Linked DNA regions of Pelodiscus sinensis. The protein of the gene in region 1 interacts with the protein of each later gene in a biochemical or structural test. Links are inferred from orthologs where the notes say so. Each region holds a gene or a part of one and is shown in the gene's direction. Other genes may lie near its edges.

Region 1 (7,859 bases):
TTTAAGGTGTTTCATGTTCTCCCGTACATAGCCTTGCTCGTATCCCAAATGGCCGCCCTCTCCCAAGTATTGCTGGCGTTATCAAAGTCACAGGCTGCCCTTTGTCAAGATGGCTACTGTTTCTCCATAGCCTTTCAAGGTGAAAGCCCCTAGGAAAGATGGCTGTTGTCGCCCGTCGTTTTTAGGGGGATTCAAGCATGGTTGTCCTTTGGGAAGACAGTAATCTCTTCTAGCCCAGACTCCCAAGTGCTCAGTGTACCCTTGGCACACACTCTGTGTGGTGCTGTGCCCACCTCCAGATATGGCTGGGACACAGAGACAGCCTGCGATAGCCACAGCTAATAGAGATCAGTTTTTTAACTTAGGCAGTGAAGGCCGAGTATTGCCAAGCAGAGCTATTAAGGTGACAGCACGATCTGGGGAATCTTTAGACCCTTTTCTAGGCCCACAGCGCTTTACATTCCCCCCACCCAGAGCTGTGGCAGGGTAGACATTGCATTCCCCCAAATAAATAATCTATAAATACAACTGCTGCCCTCTTTATTTTTTACAAAAAAAGTATTAATAAACGTACCATATATTTTAGAAATGTCTGCCTGTCTGTGAGTCTGTTTGTTCAGGAATTCCTCCTACATGGTAAGAGCTAGGACCACCAAATTTCAGGATACAGCTTCCTCTTATCAAAACATACAGCAAGGTCAGGATTTGGTTGTGCCAAGACAATGGGATGTGCCTGGAATTTTATTGTTTCTTATAAGATGGAAAGGAGGGGCCTGGTAAGAGGGAGTTATACTGTAGAATGACCACAGGGGGGCAGCAAGGTGCCAGAGATGGGGATTGGCACAGCTATACTCCCATTGAGCCAGCAAGGGGCCAGGGTAGAGAAAAGAGCAGCTATCGACTATATATTTCTGACAGTTCGTCTGTCTGTGTGTCTGTCTGGCCCACAGCCAGAGCATATATACCCCTCCTGTGTGTTTGCTGCCCCCAAACTGCTGCAGTGAGAGAGGGCTGGTGTTGCCCTCTTTTCTAGTAGCAACCTTCACCCTAAACACCACATCCCAACCCCAACCCCACCCCCAAGCAATGATTTAAATGAGGTAAGGACCCAAGCAATGCCGGGTAAATCTTCTAGTAGTCTATACATTCCCCACTTCCCAAATAAATACTCTATACATATCATTTCTGCCCTCTTTTTTAATTAAAAATATATTAATTTTTCAAGACATAGAATTGAAACAATGCCACGAGGAAGACATTTAGAGCAGCATTTCAGATATTATCCCTGACAGCCGAATAAAGGAATGCAGCCATACAGGTCTCTTGCTTTCTGGTTTTTGCTTCTGCGTGCTTTCTTTTAATAAAACAGGCCAATAAGCAAAACCAAACCCAATGTCTAGTGGTATGTGTGTGGCCACAATTTTCAAAAGTGACTGGTGAAAGCAGCTTGTGAAATGACCTTGCGTGAGCAGCAAATTTGTCAGCGACCTCAAGAGATGTGCCATTGATAGACACCACTGGAATAGTTGCAGCATTTCTTGATCGAGACTGAAGCATGACTCCTGCCTTCTTCAGGCAGACAGTTAAGCCAAAACATTTTGCAGCCCAGGAAAAGCAGTCAGGGCTTGACTACACTATGGAGAAAATTGACCCTCCGGAGGTCGATCGTCTAGTGTTTGATTTAGCAGAGCTAGTATAGATCCCCAAATTGAACACTGAGGGCAGCCCCTGCCGGCATGGTGTACTCCTCATTCTGTGTGGGGTAAGGGAAGCCGATGTGAGCGTGTGCTCCTGTTGGCTTCCCACAGTGTAGATGCTGCGGCGGCTGGGCTTAAGATAAGCTGATTCCAGCTACGCATTTTGCTGATCTTCCTGGTCTAGTGTAGACCAGGCCCCAGTGAGCAACTGACTGTCCCGGAAGTTATGGGCCAATAAAACACAATCATCAATGAACAGTAGTTCAATTGTCTTCCTAACTTGTGTCTTTGCCGGCATGCAGTACAGCTAGAAGACACTGCCATCCACAGGGTACTCACATAAACGCCATAATCAATGTCTCCGAATGCATCTATTATCACAGCTGCCAACACGATGCTAAATAGTGTGCAAGCTGGAGCACAGCCATGTTTTACTCCACAGCCAAGGGAGCTGAAACGCAGCCTCAGATAAGGACATGAAGCGGCATTCCCACATGGAATGATTTAGTGATGTTCAGAAATTTACTGAGGAAGCGGAACTTGGGGAGGACTGTCCACGGACTCTCTCCGGTGACAGAGTCAAAGACAATAGTCAGATGGGAATGGGAGGCAGACAGAGCTCCTGGCAGAGGGAAGAAGTGGGTGCACACAAAGCCCCTGCCATGGGGGCCCTGGTATAGGGAAAGACAGGAATGGAAGCACAGTGAACCCCTGGGAAGGAGGGGATTGGAAGAAAGAAGGAATGGGGACCCCGGGGGTGGGGGATGGAAATGAGGGAGCATACAGACCCCTGCTATGGAGGGGAGAAGGGGGACTATAGAATGAGGGAGGGAGGAAGGGAGCACAAAGAGTGTTTGCTGTTCGGAGGATGTTGGAATAGGTGTTCATGCAAAGCAGGTGGAAAAATGGGGACCTCTGGTATGGAAGGTAGGGGACATGGGGCACACAGAGACCCTGCCTGGGGGATCCTCACTACAATAGAGGGGGTGTGAGGGTGGCATCCAGGGAGCTATTGGGGCGAGTGGACAGAGGCAAGGAGCCCCCAGGGTACAATAAGCTCATCAGATACAAGCAACATGTGCAACCCCTAGTAACCCCTCCCTAGTCCCTAGGAAGAATTTCTCTGGGGCAGGTACTCTGTAGGATAAGCTCTATGCAGGCATCCTTACAAGCTCTGGGGACAGAAGTGGGGCAGGGAGGGAGTGTAATTCAAATCCAACATACTTATATGCCCCCCATCATTGTGATATCTGAGCACCTCGCAGACTTTAATGTATTGGTCCTCACACACAGGGCAGTGCTATTAAGCCCAATGCACAGATAGGCAAACAGAGGTGCAGAGGGACAAGATCACACAAGAAATCTGTGGCAGGGCAGAGAATTCAGTGTGGGTCTCCAGCCAACACTCTAACCACTAGGCAAGCCTACCCTGACCTTAATTCACACCTTTAGGGCCACTCTGGATCACAGGGCTGTCATAACTTAGAGAGAGGACTGACCTGGCCCCTGACTTGCCCAGAACTAAGGGAGGCACAAAGGTGGTGTAAAGTCATTTTTGCTTCCTCTCCCTTGAGCTGAGCCATGCAATCCCCCCTCACCGAATCTTAAACATCTTCAATCAAAATAGCTCCCTTTCTCAATCAGGTTTCATATTAGCCCAGCTCCCCTCCTCCCTTTCCCCTCCTTTCCATTTTCTTTAAAGATGACAAAGAAGTAAAGAACGTCACAAGCTCCATTTATTATTTCCTTGCAGAGTTCACCAGGGAGGAGCTGAACCTGAAAGGTGCTGGCTCTCACTGGAGCTGGGGACAAGTCCCTCAGGCAATCAGGCTGTCAGCTGGACCTTTAAAGGGACCCTGTCACCTTAAAAATCATCACACACATGCTGGACACAATCAAAGCCCACCCAAAATGCCAAGGCCCTGATGTTGCAATGAGCCCTGGGCAGGTGGGCCCCCAATTCCTGTTGCTTGGGCCCCATCTCCTTCCCTGCCTTAGTAACTGGCCTCAGCAATGATTAAATCCAAAGGAATTTTAACAGCCTTTTAACAGCTGAGGTGTTTGTTCTGGGCTTTTCCTTCTGTGACAGCAGACAAGGCATGGGGAGGTACCATAAATCAGTGTTCCCTGTAAGCTGAGTGCTTGGGTGACCACCCAGGAGAGAATCAAATGCCGCCCAGCTGATTAGCAGAGCGCCCACATGTGTTTCTGTGGGTGGTGCACATATGCGCATGCCTCGGTGCATATAACAAAATTTATTCCGCACAGGGAATGGAATCAAGTTCGAGGGAACATCACATGCAATCCCTGCTCATTTTCCCAAGCGGGGAGGCAAAGGCGGGCTGGCTGAAAAATTCCCATTTGATTACAAGCCACAAGCAGGGCAGGAGAGGTTTCTCTGAGCAATCCTGTTGTCTGATCTGGGCAAACCTTGGAGTCTGAGCCCAGCCCAGCTTGGCCTGCCTGTCCCTTTAATTGGTGTGGCCGGGTGGCTCCCAGGTCATTAGAGAGCCAGGGTGGAGGAGGTCATGTCTTTGATCGCACCGACGTCGGCTGGCCACAGAGCTGCTCACGCCGCCTGCCTCACCTTTGCCTCCCTCGTGGCTGATCCCTCGTGCACCTGCGGGGCAGCTGACTCCTGCACAGGTGGAGGAGGAGGCTCCTCTCTGTCTCCTCCCCCTCTCCGGCCAGCTCGCTCCCGCCCAGTGGATGTCATTGAGGAGCAGCAGCTGGCGGCTGCCTGAGGATCAGCTGCGCCCGGCCGCCCGCGGAGGCACAGAGCGAGAGCAGGGGAGAGCCGAGCCGAGCCGAGCCGGGCCGGGGGTTATTGTTTGTCCCGCTTTAAGGAACCTCCCCCCCTCCCCCTAGCTCGGTGGGAGGGAGGCGAAGCACAGTCCAGGACTTCCTGGAGCCAGCCGCGCCCGCACCTGCTGGGAGGAGCAGCGGGGCACCATGAAGGATCGGCTGGAGCAGCTGAAAGCCGTGAGTTCGCCCCCCCCCCCCCCCCGGGCCGAGCCGGGGGGCTGCAGCAGGGCGTCCCGTGTCCGGGCTAATAATCAGACTGGCCTTTTATAGCGCGTGGGGGGCTCGCCCGCTGTGGGGGACACTTGCGCCCCCCCCCTCCCCCGCGCCGTCCCTGGTCGGTCCCCCCCCCCCCAGTGGTCTGTCCACTGTTGTTCTCCCTCCCCGTGCCTCGGTCTGTCCGCTAGCATTCCTTTCCCCCTCTCTTCTCCCCCCCCCCCCGCCAAGTGCCTCGGTCTGTCCGCTCATCCTCCCCCCCCCCCCCCCCACCAGTGTCCTGGTATGTCCAGTGTCATCCCCACCCCCAGCTCCTTGGTCTATCCAGTATCATCCACTCCTCTCAGCTCCCTTATATGGGTTAAGGAGGGAAATAATTAAGCGTCCCCCCCCCCCCAATTTGGAGACTCTTCTCGCTCCAGAAGAGAAGCTGGAGGGTATTGGGGGGGGGGGGGGCAGCATGATGTGTAATGCTGCATTGGGGGCAGCCCCACTGCAGGGGTATTAATGCTCCGGGAGGAGGAGGGAGTGAGAACAGCATCTGCATGAAATGTCCTGAAGATTAAACTGGTGAAGATTGAGGTTGTTCTGCCCTCTGAGACCAGGGAGTGGGGCACGGGCTAGTGGCCGTTGGCTATCTTAGAAGGAGGAACCTGGAGGGGCAGTTGAGACTGGGGGGGGGACCATTTCTTCAGCCTAACCTTCCTCAACACCCCCTCCCTCCCGCTTGTATTAGGATGAGTTGAGCTGGCAACTTCCTCCTTTGCTTTTCCTCCTGGGGAAGTTTTTTTTTTTTTTTCCTGCCCATTGCTCAGCTTGGCCGTTAACGGCCTTGCCCGCAGTGGGACCCCACAATGACAGTTCCCGCAGGGTCATGCCCGGTATTGCCATGACACTTTTCTCAGTGGCTGTCTTTGCTCCCCTCCCCCCCCACCACAAGGGCACCTGCTGACTGATCATGGGGATGGGTTAGTGCCTGGGGCTACTCTTTAGAGGGTTGCTTGGGAGCACTGCCTCTGGTGCTGGTTTCTTTTGTGTGCGTGTGTGGGGGTTGCTTGTGAGCGCTGGGTGCTGTGCACAATGTGGTGTTAGTGTAAGGACACTCGTGAGCTGCGTTGTGCTTGGAGGGTTGCTTGCACCCACCTTTCCTTATGTGAGCCTGTGCAAGCTCCCAGGGGCCACATGATGGGAGGGGTCCCAGAGGGAGCTGCGCACGTAAGTTAGTGTAGGCTACTGGTGAGAATTGTGTATGAGCCCTTGGCGGGGTCACTGGTGTCAGATGACAGGCCGCTGGGGTGAGGCTGCCTGCTGGCACGGGGTCAGATTCTCACTGCTTTCGTTGCCAGGAAGCGCTTGTTAAACATGTATCAGACAAAGGGATGAACACAGGGAATCCAAGGCCAAACTAAACTCTGTCTCCATCCTGCCAGGGCAGGTCTCTGTCTGTGAGGCTCCAGGGTTAGCTGTCCCCTCCCTGCTCTTTTCCCCTGCCTGCTTGGCACCGGCCCAGGTGCAATACAGGCTGTGCCTTGCCTAGGAGCATGTGGGCAGCAATTGAGCTGAACTGGGTGGGAACTCTGGGGTTGGGTACCCTGTATGCTGCTTCTTTGCTTCAGGGTAGCTCTGTGGCTTTTGGTCAGAGGTATCAGAGAAATTGTATATAGTGTTGTGGGAAGTGGGTCTAGTTCCCAGTCTGGAATGCATCCCGTTCAAGAGAGCAGGTATTTGAAGACTAAACCATCCCTGTTGTGTCCTGTTGCCTGAGGCAACTACATCTGCTGCCTATCTTCTCCAGGTTTGGTGATAGTCCACTCCACCAGGCTGGGCTATAGTGATGAGGGGTGAGAGCATGGGCCTAGACACCTGGAGCTCTTTCCCTGGGTCACTGTGTGACTTTACCTGGGTCTCTCCTCCTGTGCCTCAGTTTCCCCATCTGTGAAATAGGGCTAATGATCCACTGATCCCAGACGGCAGGGGAAAGGCCACACTTTCTGGCTTTGCTACAAAAGGAGAGAGGGGGAAGGTTGCTGTGGGGAATGAAGATGTGGCAAAGGAAGGGCACGGGGGAGGGGAAATCTGTAGGGCTTTGAGCGGGAACAATGACACAACCCAACTCCCTCTGTGCAGGCCTTCCAGAGGTGACACTGCCCCAGCCTTGGGGCCCTGTGCCTTGTTTGAATTGCACCTGCTATAGGAGGCCCTGTGAGGAGATCCAAACAATGGCTCTTTTCATGGGGCGAGAGCAGGCTGTGCCAGAAAACAGGCCCCTGATAGGAACCAGCATCTCCTGAGGTAAATGTTCACCCTAAGGATCACATCAGGCCTGTCAAACTAACAGCTTCCTCCCAAAAAAGCCTTGACCTGCCCGGAATGGATGGATCAGATGGATCTCTTGTCCCAGAGCAGAGGCCGTTCCCAGTCTAGATGTGTCCCTGCAGAACACAAGGGGTTAAACTCAGCCCTTCGCCATCACCCCAGTGACGGCTAGAAAACAAGAGCGCTCAGTTGTTCACTGAAAGGCAGTTTGCAGATTTATTTTCTGCATGGGACCAACCAGAGACAGAGAAATCTGTGTCCTCACAGTCGCCTGATGATTCAGGTACTCCTGTGGGACGTCAGAGACCAATTTCTGCCTTGAATCGGGGAGAGGGGGGGCCTTGAACCAGTGACTCTTGTGTTACAGGTGGACTATTCTGGGGTCAGTCTCTCTCTCTTTGCTTTGGGGTGGGGGTTCATCTTTGTGGTACAGATGTGCTCTGAGCTCTCCTCTTTCTGCTGGTCCTGGGGTTACCCTGTTGGAGGCTGGGAGAGAAGGGGGCGGGGGAGAGTGACAGGGATTTAGCTGGGATTACAAAGCCATCAGCCAGAAGAAGAGGAGATAAAATGCTGGAGGGAGGGGGGAGCAAGAGAAGGGGATTAATTTTATTTTTATTCCGCGTTGGGCTGGAGTCCCAAATTGGCAGTGGGAGGGGGGGGTGAAGGGAGGAGGAGCTATGGACAGCTAACATGGCTGATCTGTCTTGGAAACGGTTCTGTCCTGCCCCGGGGGGTTTACCAGGATATCAGCAGGATGCGGCGTATAGGGACAGTTCCCCAGCCCTTGGATATGATCCCAGATCTGTCCTGGCATGGGACCTTGTCACA
Region 2 (7,391 bases), about 60 Mb from region 1:
GCTATGGGGCACTGCATTAATGCACTGGGGAAAACTCACCCTTCAGGCCAGCGAGAAGAAATCCAGAGAGTGAGAAAAATACTTAAAAGGAGCAAGGGACAAATGAAGCATTAAAAATTAACGTTTTTCCTCACCTAGAAGCTGATTTTAGGCACTAGATCTGGTGTTTTAGGAGAGATCTGAAAGAATTTAATATTGATTTAAATCAGGGGTCACCTTTTTAAAGTTCCCGCCGGGGTTCACGTTCCCCCGCACGTCGCCGGGCAGGCGTTACCACCACCGCCCATCCTGCCCCCTGATTGGCCGGCTGCCCTGTCAGTCTGGGCAGGGGAACGCCGCCCGTGCTAACCCCCGCCCCCTTTGCTGCCGCGCGGCCGCTTGTCAGCGGAGCGGCCCGCTTCTCCTGCCCCGGCGCGGCGTGAGTACACGCCGCACACCCCTGACAGGGCCCCCCCACCGCGGCAAGAAGGGCCCGTTCGGCGGCGCCCCAGGGACGGTCTCCACGAGCCGGATGAGAGGGCCTCGCGGGCCGCATCCGGCCCGCGGGCCGTAGTTTGGAGACCCCTGTGTTAGACTATAAGGTGCCACAGGACTCCTTGTCGCTTTTGCGGATCCAGACCAACACGGCTACCCCTCTGATACTAGGCTATACAGGCAGTCCCCGGGTTATGTACAAGATAGGGACTGTAGGTTTGTTCTTAAGTTGAATCTGTATGTAAGTCGGAACTGGCATCCAGATTCAGCCGCTGCTGAAACTGATCAGTTTCAACAGCGGCTGAATCTGGATGCCAGTTCTGACTTACATACAGATTCAACTTAAGAACCCCAGGCTCCGCAGCTTTGCTCTGCTTTGCTCCCCGTCCCCCTGGTCTGCAGACCAGGGGGACGGGGAGCAAAGCGGCGGAACACGCGGGCAGCGGACAGCCCAGACGCGTCTGTGCTGTCCGCTGCCCGCATGTTCCGCCGCTTTGCTTCCTCTCCCTGGTCTGCTGGAGACCAGGGAGAGGGAGGGACCCGTTCGTAACTGCGGATCCAACGTAAGTCGGATCCGCGTAACTCGGGGACTGCCTGTAACAGTGTTTCCCTAATGGTATTTCATGGAACCCAGGAGTTCCATGAAGTGAAAATAAGGGTTCCATGAGAAAATTCCATTACAACAACATTTTTTATTAAAAAAATTAATATTATATGAGTTTTCTTTTTAGATATGTGCAATTAAACTAAATGTTGATCTCGTGACCTTGTTTAGCATTTGTTTATTATTTTCCTTACTTATTTGTGGTCTACTTTTTCAGCTCCATATATTAGACTGTTATTCGGGGTTCTGCAAAATTCTTTCAAGTTTAAAAGAGTTCTGTGGCCAAATAAAATTGGGAAACATTGGTCTATAATGTGCCACAAGACTCGTTGCTTTTTAGAAGCATAGGTGCTTACTTTAAAATGCATCATCTTCCAAAACGTGTGTCTGATATTTTGGCATATTACAAGACCAAATTAACATTTTCACCTACATGTACCCTTCACCAACCTCACACACTGGATATATTTAGATGCAAGTTCACCCCTGTTTTCAGATGTGCTACCATACCTGAGTGACAGAGTGAGTATGGGCATAAAGCAGGGCAGCTACTACCGGCACAGTTCAGATACCAGTATAGCGGTCGGGGAGGAGTTAAAGATCTGTAAATAGGCGTTTGCTTTGATGCTGGAGAAATTCTGCACAACCCAATGGCAAAAGATCAAGAGCAACGGCGTTAGAAAAAACACACACACTATACTGCAAGAGCCATCCCGCGCCGCCTTCCTAGCCACGGCCCACTGTCACCCCCTCCCCCCGGCCTGTCTCCCCCGACACCCCCTGCCCCGCCGCCTCTGCACCCGCTCCCCATCCCACACACATTCCTGAGCCATTACCGATCCCCACCCCCTCCAAGGGAGCAGCATCTCCAGGCGCCGAGCCCCTGCCCGCCAGGACTTTACTCACAGGCCGCGTCCTCCTGGTCCCACGACAGCGCGGCAGCCCCGCCGCCCATCACGCGGCTCGAACCGAGCAGGCCCCGCTGCCTACCCGGGGCCGGCCGCGGCTCCCCCAGGAAAACGGCTGAGAAGCGCGACCCGAGAGGGAAGCGCGGCGCAGGACCAGGGGAGCGTGCGCTCCCGCAGCCAATCCGCGAGCGCGGCACACTGCCTGCACGCTGGGAAACGGCCGTTTCTGCGGATCAGGGCCGCGCTTGGCCTGTTGGCTATTGTAGTTTTTTGGGAGCGGAAATTGCTGTGGTCCATCGCGGCACCCTGCCGCCCGCCAGCAGCAACGCTGATCACACAGGACCGGATGGGGTCCTGGTGCACTTTATATGGTGCAATACGTGTACTTGGCACTTTGCAGAACATGGGAAAAGGCTCCAGCCCTGAGGCGTTTGCCTTGTAAATCACTAACAAGCAGAACAGCTCAGTAGCCGGAAGCCATGGAGACTTTGCTGAGGCTATCATGGGAGAACTCAACATCAGAAAAAGGGGCATCATATGCTTACTAGGTCATCACAGTCTACTTTACGACTATATTCTGCTGAGGGACTCTTGGACTCAACCAGTCTGGGAATCAACAGAATCCTAATGAGTAGCTAATAAGAGAATAACTGCTATTTAAATGTAGAACTTACACTGCTATAGAATAGAATACTATCTGTTCCTTGGCTCTGAACAGTAACTTCCCATCCCCAGCAAATGTAGTTTTTCTTTCTGTCTATTCCTCTTTCCCATTATGGGCCTATTTCACTACCCTTACAGGATAAGTGGTGTGTTACTCTGAGACTAGTCTTACTGATAAAACTGAAAAAGAGATCAGTTCAAAAGCTTGGTTCGCTCATCTGAAAGGAAAGCAGAGGGAAATGGTAGTTTCTGTGGCTCAGGGCAGCAACTGGCAATTGCCTTTTGACAACTGTAGTTTTTTGGAAGCAGAAATTGCTGTGGTCCATCACAGCACCATGCAGCAACATTGATCAATAAGAGATACTACCCATATCCACCCTGTCTCTCTCATATCTTGGGACCAGTAGGGCTACAGGGACATTGCAAACAGCTACTGATATGATACAGAGATTTTTCAACATGAATAAAGGCATTAACATTTGCCCCTATATTGGGGAAGGGGAAGTGTTATCATTCACTATATGTACACTTGAGGTCGTGTTATTGATTCTAGTCTGCAGTTTCAGAAACTTTGGTACATTTCCTGATCTCCCTTACATATTCTGGGGAAATTCACACACATACAAAATCATAGAATCATAGAATACTACGACTGGAAGGGACCTTGAGAGGTCATCGAGTCCACTCCCTGCCTCCATGGCAGGACCAAATACTGTCTAGACTATCCCTGATAGACATTTATCTAACCTACTCTTAAATATATCCAGAGACGGAGATTCCACAACCTCCCTGGGCAATTTATTCCAGTGCTTAACTACCTTGGCAGTTAGGAACTTTTTCCTAATGTCCAACCTAAACCTCCCTTGCTGCAGTTTAAGCCCATTGCTGCTTGTTCTATCCTCAGAGGCCAAGATGAACAAGTTTTCTCCCTCCTCATGACACCCTTTTAGGTACCTGAAAATGGCTATCATGTCCCCCCCCCCTCAGTCTTCTCTTTTCTAAACTAAATAAACCCAGTTCTTTCAGCCTTCCTTCACAGGTCATGTTCTCTAGACCTTTAATCATTCTTGTTGCTCTTCTCTGGACCCCCTCCAATTTCTCCACATCTTTCTTGAAATGTGCCCAGAACTGGACACAATACTCCAACTGAGGCCTAACCAGCGCAAATTGAAAAACAAGACAAAATAATTATGGTTTTTACATGTAGGACTTGACATGTTAGACACCAATCAAGAGAAGTCCTTACAAACGAGTGAAAAATCACCCTACAGGCTTCCTGCCTGCCCAGGCTGGGGACTAGCACTGGGACTGAAGCTGAGACAAGAGGCACGACAAGGCTCATAAGACAAACAAAAATATTTCAGAAACCCAGCGTCAACATCCAAGAGCAGGAGACAAGCAGGATCCCGCATCGCTGGGGAAGAACAAAGGTCGCTGCTGCAGACCCGGCCCCGCTTGCTGAGAGCAGGAAAGAGACTGACAGTCAGCGCGCATGCTCGGAGCTAGCTCGGTGTTCCGGCTTAGGTCGACTGACCTCCGCTCTCCGCCATGTTGATTGTGCGAGTCCGCGCGGCTCGCTCTTTTCTCGCTCTGCTGGGTGGCGGTCGCGACAATGGGGCCAGCCGCCATGCTGAGTGTGGCCCACGAGGTGCCTTTCTCTCCACCATGTTGAATGTGGCTCTTCCTGGTTTGCCGGCAGGTGGGCGGTGCTGAGTTCCGGTTCCAGTTCCGGTGGGGCGGGCGGGGTCGGTGGCTCTGCCTGCCGGGCAGGTGTTGCTGGTGCGACGAGACTCAGTATGGAGCATTAAAGCGACGGCTCCGCTCGCGCTCCGGACTTGGCGGTGGCTGTGAGAGGCGCCAGCTGCAGGTGGGAAAAGGCGGAAACCTCCGGGTGTGGCGCCCGGTCGGAGCGGGGCGGCCTGTGTTGTCCTGCCCTAGGCGGGGTGGGGTGGCGCGGAGTCCTGGTGAGGTGCTCTGGGCTAGGCTGGAGAGCGCTCTTGCCCCCCCCCCCCCCCGGGCTGGCTCCCTCTGCGCGCGTCCGGCCCTAGTGCGGGATCCCGGCGGGAGCGGGGGTGACACCACTACTGGCCCCTGTGAGGTGCAGTGGGTGAGCAGCTGGCGCTGATGGGGACCAGGGGATGGGGCCGCCGGGGCCAACACTGCCCGTCTTACCTACTTGATAAACGCGGCATAGAGCACTGGTGCCCCAAACTTAGTAGTGCCCCATGCAGCCGCATAAAGATAGCCTTGTGTGATGATCTATGGGTTTTTTGGTCTCTAGTGTTTGGTAATATTCCAGTGTTTTTTGCAATGGAAAAAAAAGTTGCAAAAAAAGCAAGCACAATTCTGGGATGCATTAATGCAGGGGTTCCCAACTTTTCCGGTCCTTGTACCCCCCCTTGGCTTTTAGTAAACCTTCCCGTACCCCCTATTCAATATGAAAAGAAATAAATTCTAGACTCTAGAATCCACAACTTTTTTCACTAACACTGCTACTTTTGGAATATTTCAATTAGGATAATCTAGTTATTTACCAAATATTCCCCGCACACCCTTGACAAGCTTCTCGTATCGTATGCGTACCCCAGGTTGGGAGTCCCTGCATTGACGGGAGTGTTGTGAGCAGAACAGGAGAAGCCATTCTTCTGCTCTACTCTGCGCTGATTAGGCCTCAACTGGAGTATTGTGCCAGTTCTGGGCATCACATTTCAAGAAAGATGTGGAGAAATTGGAGAAGGTCCAGAGAAGAGCAACAAGAATCATAAAAGGTCTAGAGAATGTGAGCTATGAGGGAAGACTGAAAGAATTTGGCTTGTTTCTTTTAGAAAAGGGACGACTGAGAGGGAACATGATAGCAGTTTTCAAGCATCTACAAGGGTGTCACGAGGAGGAGGGAGACATTGTTCTCCTTGGTCTCTGAGGATAGGGCAAGAAGCAGTGGGCTTAAACTGCAGCAAGGGAGGTTTAGGTTGGACATTAGGAAAAAGTTCCTAACTGTCAGGGGTAGTTAAGCACTGGAATAAATTGCCCAGGGAGGTTGTGGAATCCCCGTCTCTGGATATATTTAAGAGTAGGTTAGATAAATGTCTATCAGGGATGGTCTAGACCAGTGGTCTCCAAACTTTTCACACCCAAGGTCACTTTTTAAATGACAGAACAAGCCAAGATCTACAGCCCTGCCCCTTCTTTGAAGCTCTGCCCTTTGTATTCTCCTTCTCTCCATCACTTGTTATCCCCAGCCCTTATACTGCTGCTTTTTTCCCCAATTCTTCTGTAGGAAGAGGTTTTTCCAACATTTGGCCTGTCTAGACTGGACCAAATGTCAAAAAAAACTTCTTTTGGAAGCCCCCTTATTCCTTGTGGAGAGAGGAATATAGAGGTGACCGAAAGATCATGTTTGCTCTTCCACTAAAAGAAGTGGAAGAACAAATGCGTCCCTGGATGCAGAAGAATTTTTCTGGGCTATCTCCAGAATCCTGAAAAACTCCTGCAGTCTAGCCATAATCTTGCTGGGTTGAGACAGGATATGTAGGCTCTGGGGTGGGGATGAGGGATTTGAGTGTGGGAAGGGGTGAGGTGTGCAAGCTTTGGGAGGAAATCTGGATGCAGGAGAAGGTGGATAAGGGAACACTGGCTCTGGGAGAGGGTGCCAGGCTGGGCAGTGTTGGGGTCAGATGTAGGGTTAGGGTACTAAGCAAGCCACAGATTTCTGAACCCTCACATCCAGGAATTTGGGTTTGGGTATGTGAGGAGCTCAGGGCAGGGGGTTCTGGTGTATGATAGGCTCAGGTCTGAGGGAAAGGAGAGTGTAGGAGTGTTATGATGCTGTGGCCAGATGGGGGCTTGGCTCCAATTTGGGGTTTGTTGGCCTTGCTTCATTTTTAAATAAACTACTGTGTCAAACAAAGTTTTTTGCATTGTCTTTATTTCTGAGAAGGGCAGGGAACCTGTCTTGAGTCCGGGGTCACTGACCCAAGAAAAGTCAGTTGGGGCCACACAAGTGAGATGCAAAAAAAACCCTCCTCCACCCCATCCCCCTCAAGCTTCACTAATGTGGCCCCAACTGTGTTGGTGGGAACAGGGGATATAGTATTGGGGAAGGGTGCTAGTGGGTGCTTTGGCAGGGGACAGGGTGCCAGTGGGGACAGAGTTCTGTGGCTCGGGATGGGAATGAGGACAGAGTTCGGGGAGTGGGGACAGAGTTCTGTAGCTGTGGACAGGGGAGTGGGGACGGGGCGGGGGGGGGGCAGTGGAGGCAGAGAGTCCCCTGCATCTGCCTCCTCCCAGGATTCTTCTCGCCACTCTCCTCCCCCCCCCCCCCCCCAAAAGCCAGTGCGTGCCTCCTCCTGGTCCAACTCTTCCCCCCCCCCCACACACACAGGGAAGCCTCGTGTGCCAGCTCTGGGGCTGACACCCCTTCCCCCCCCCCACACACACACCCCGGAGCAGGGAAGCCTCACGCACACCTGCCCCAGGGTTGACTCACCCCTCCTGTGCAGTGCAGAGAAGTCGCTGTGTTCCTCCTCTGGAGCCAATGCTCCCTCCCGCAGAACGCCTGGCAGAGCAGCTAGCGCACTTCCGTAATCGCCATTAGTGGTGCTAAGCAGCGGGATTCTGTCCATCCCCGGGAAGCCGACACTACCTCCATTTTCACTTAAGGTAGGTAGTGGGGCTTCTCGGGGGTGGGGAGGAAATGGCAGGGGCGGAGGGGAGCTGGGCAGGATGCCTCACGATTGACTGGT

Evidence for each region.
Region 2: the proteins of STX3 (region 1) and SNAP23 form a complex in vitro, tested with the Homo sapiens proteins (3 studies listed by BioGRID). The link is inferred for Pelodiscus sinensis from reciprocal best matches to the Homo sapiens genes STX3 and SNAP23.

The regions. Positions count from the first base shown.
Region 1 is NC_134714.1:126,383,798-126,391,656, reverse strand, and holds the start of STX3 (syntaxin-3), read left to right. Parts: upstream 1-4,475; 5' UTR 4,476-4,649; coding exon 4,650-4,679; intron 4,680-7,272; exon of another isoform or gene 7,273-7,305; coding exon of another isoform or gene 7,306-7,314; intron 7,315-7,859. UniProt on the Homo sapiens protein: Potentially involved in docking of synaptic vesicles at presynaptic active zones. Apical receptor involved in membrane fusion of apical vesicles.
Region 2 is NC_134714.1:66,552,065-66,559,455, forward strand, and holds the start of SNAP23 (synaptosomal-associated protein 23), read left to right. Parts: upstream 1-4,354; 5' UTR 4,355-4,516; intron 4,517-7,186; exon of another isoform or gene 7,187-7,308; intron 7,309-7,391. UniProt on the Homo sapiens protein: Essential component of the high affinity receptor for the general membrane fusion machinery and an important regulator of transport vesicle docking and fusion.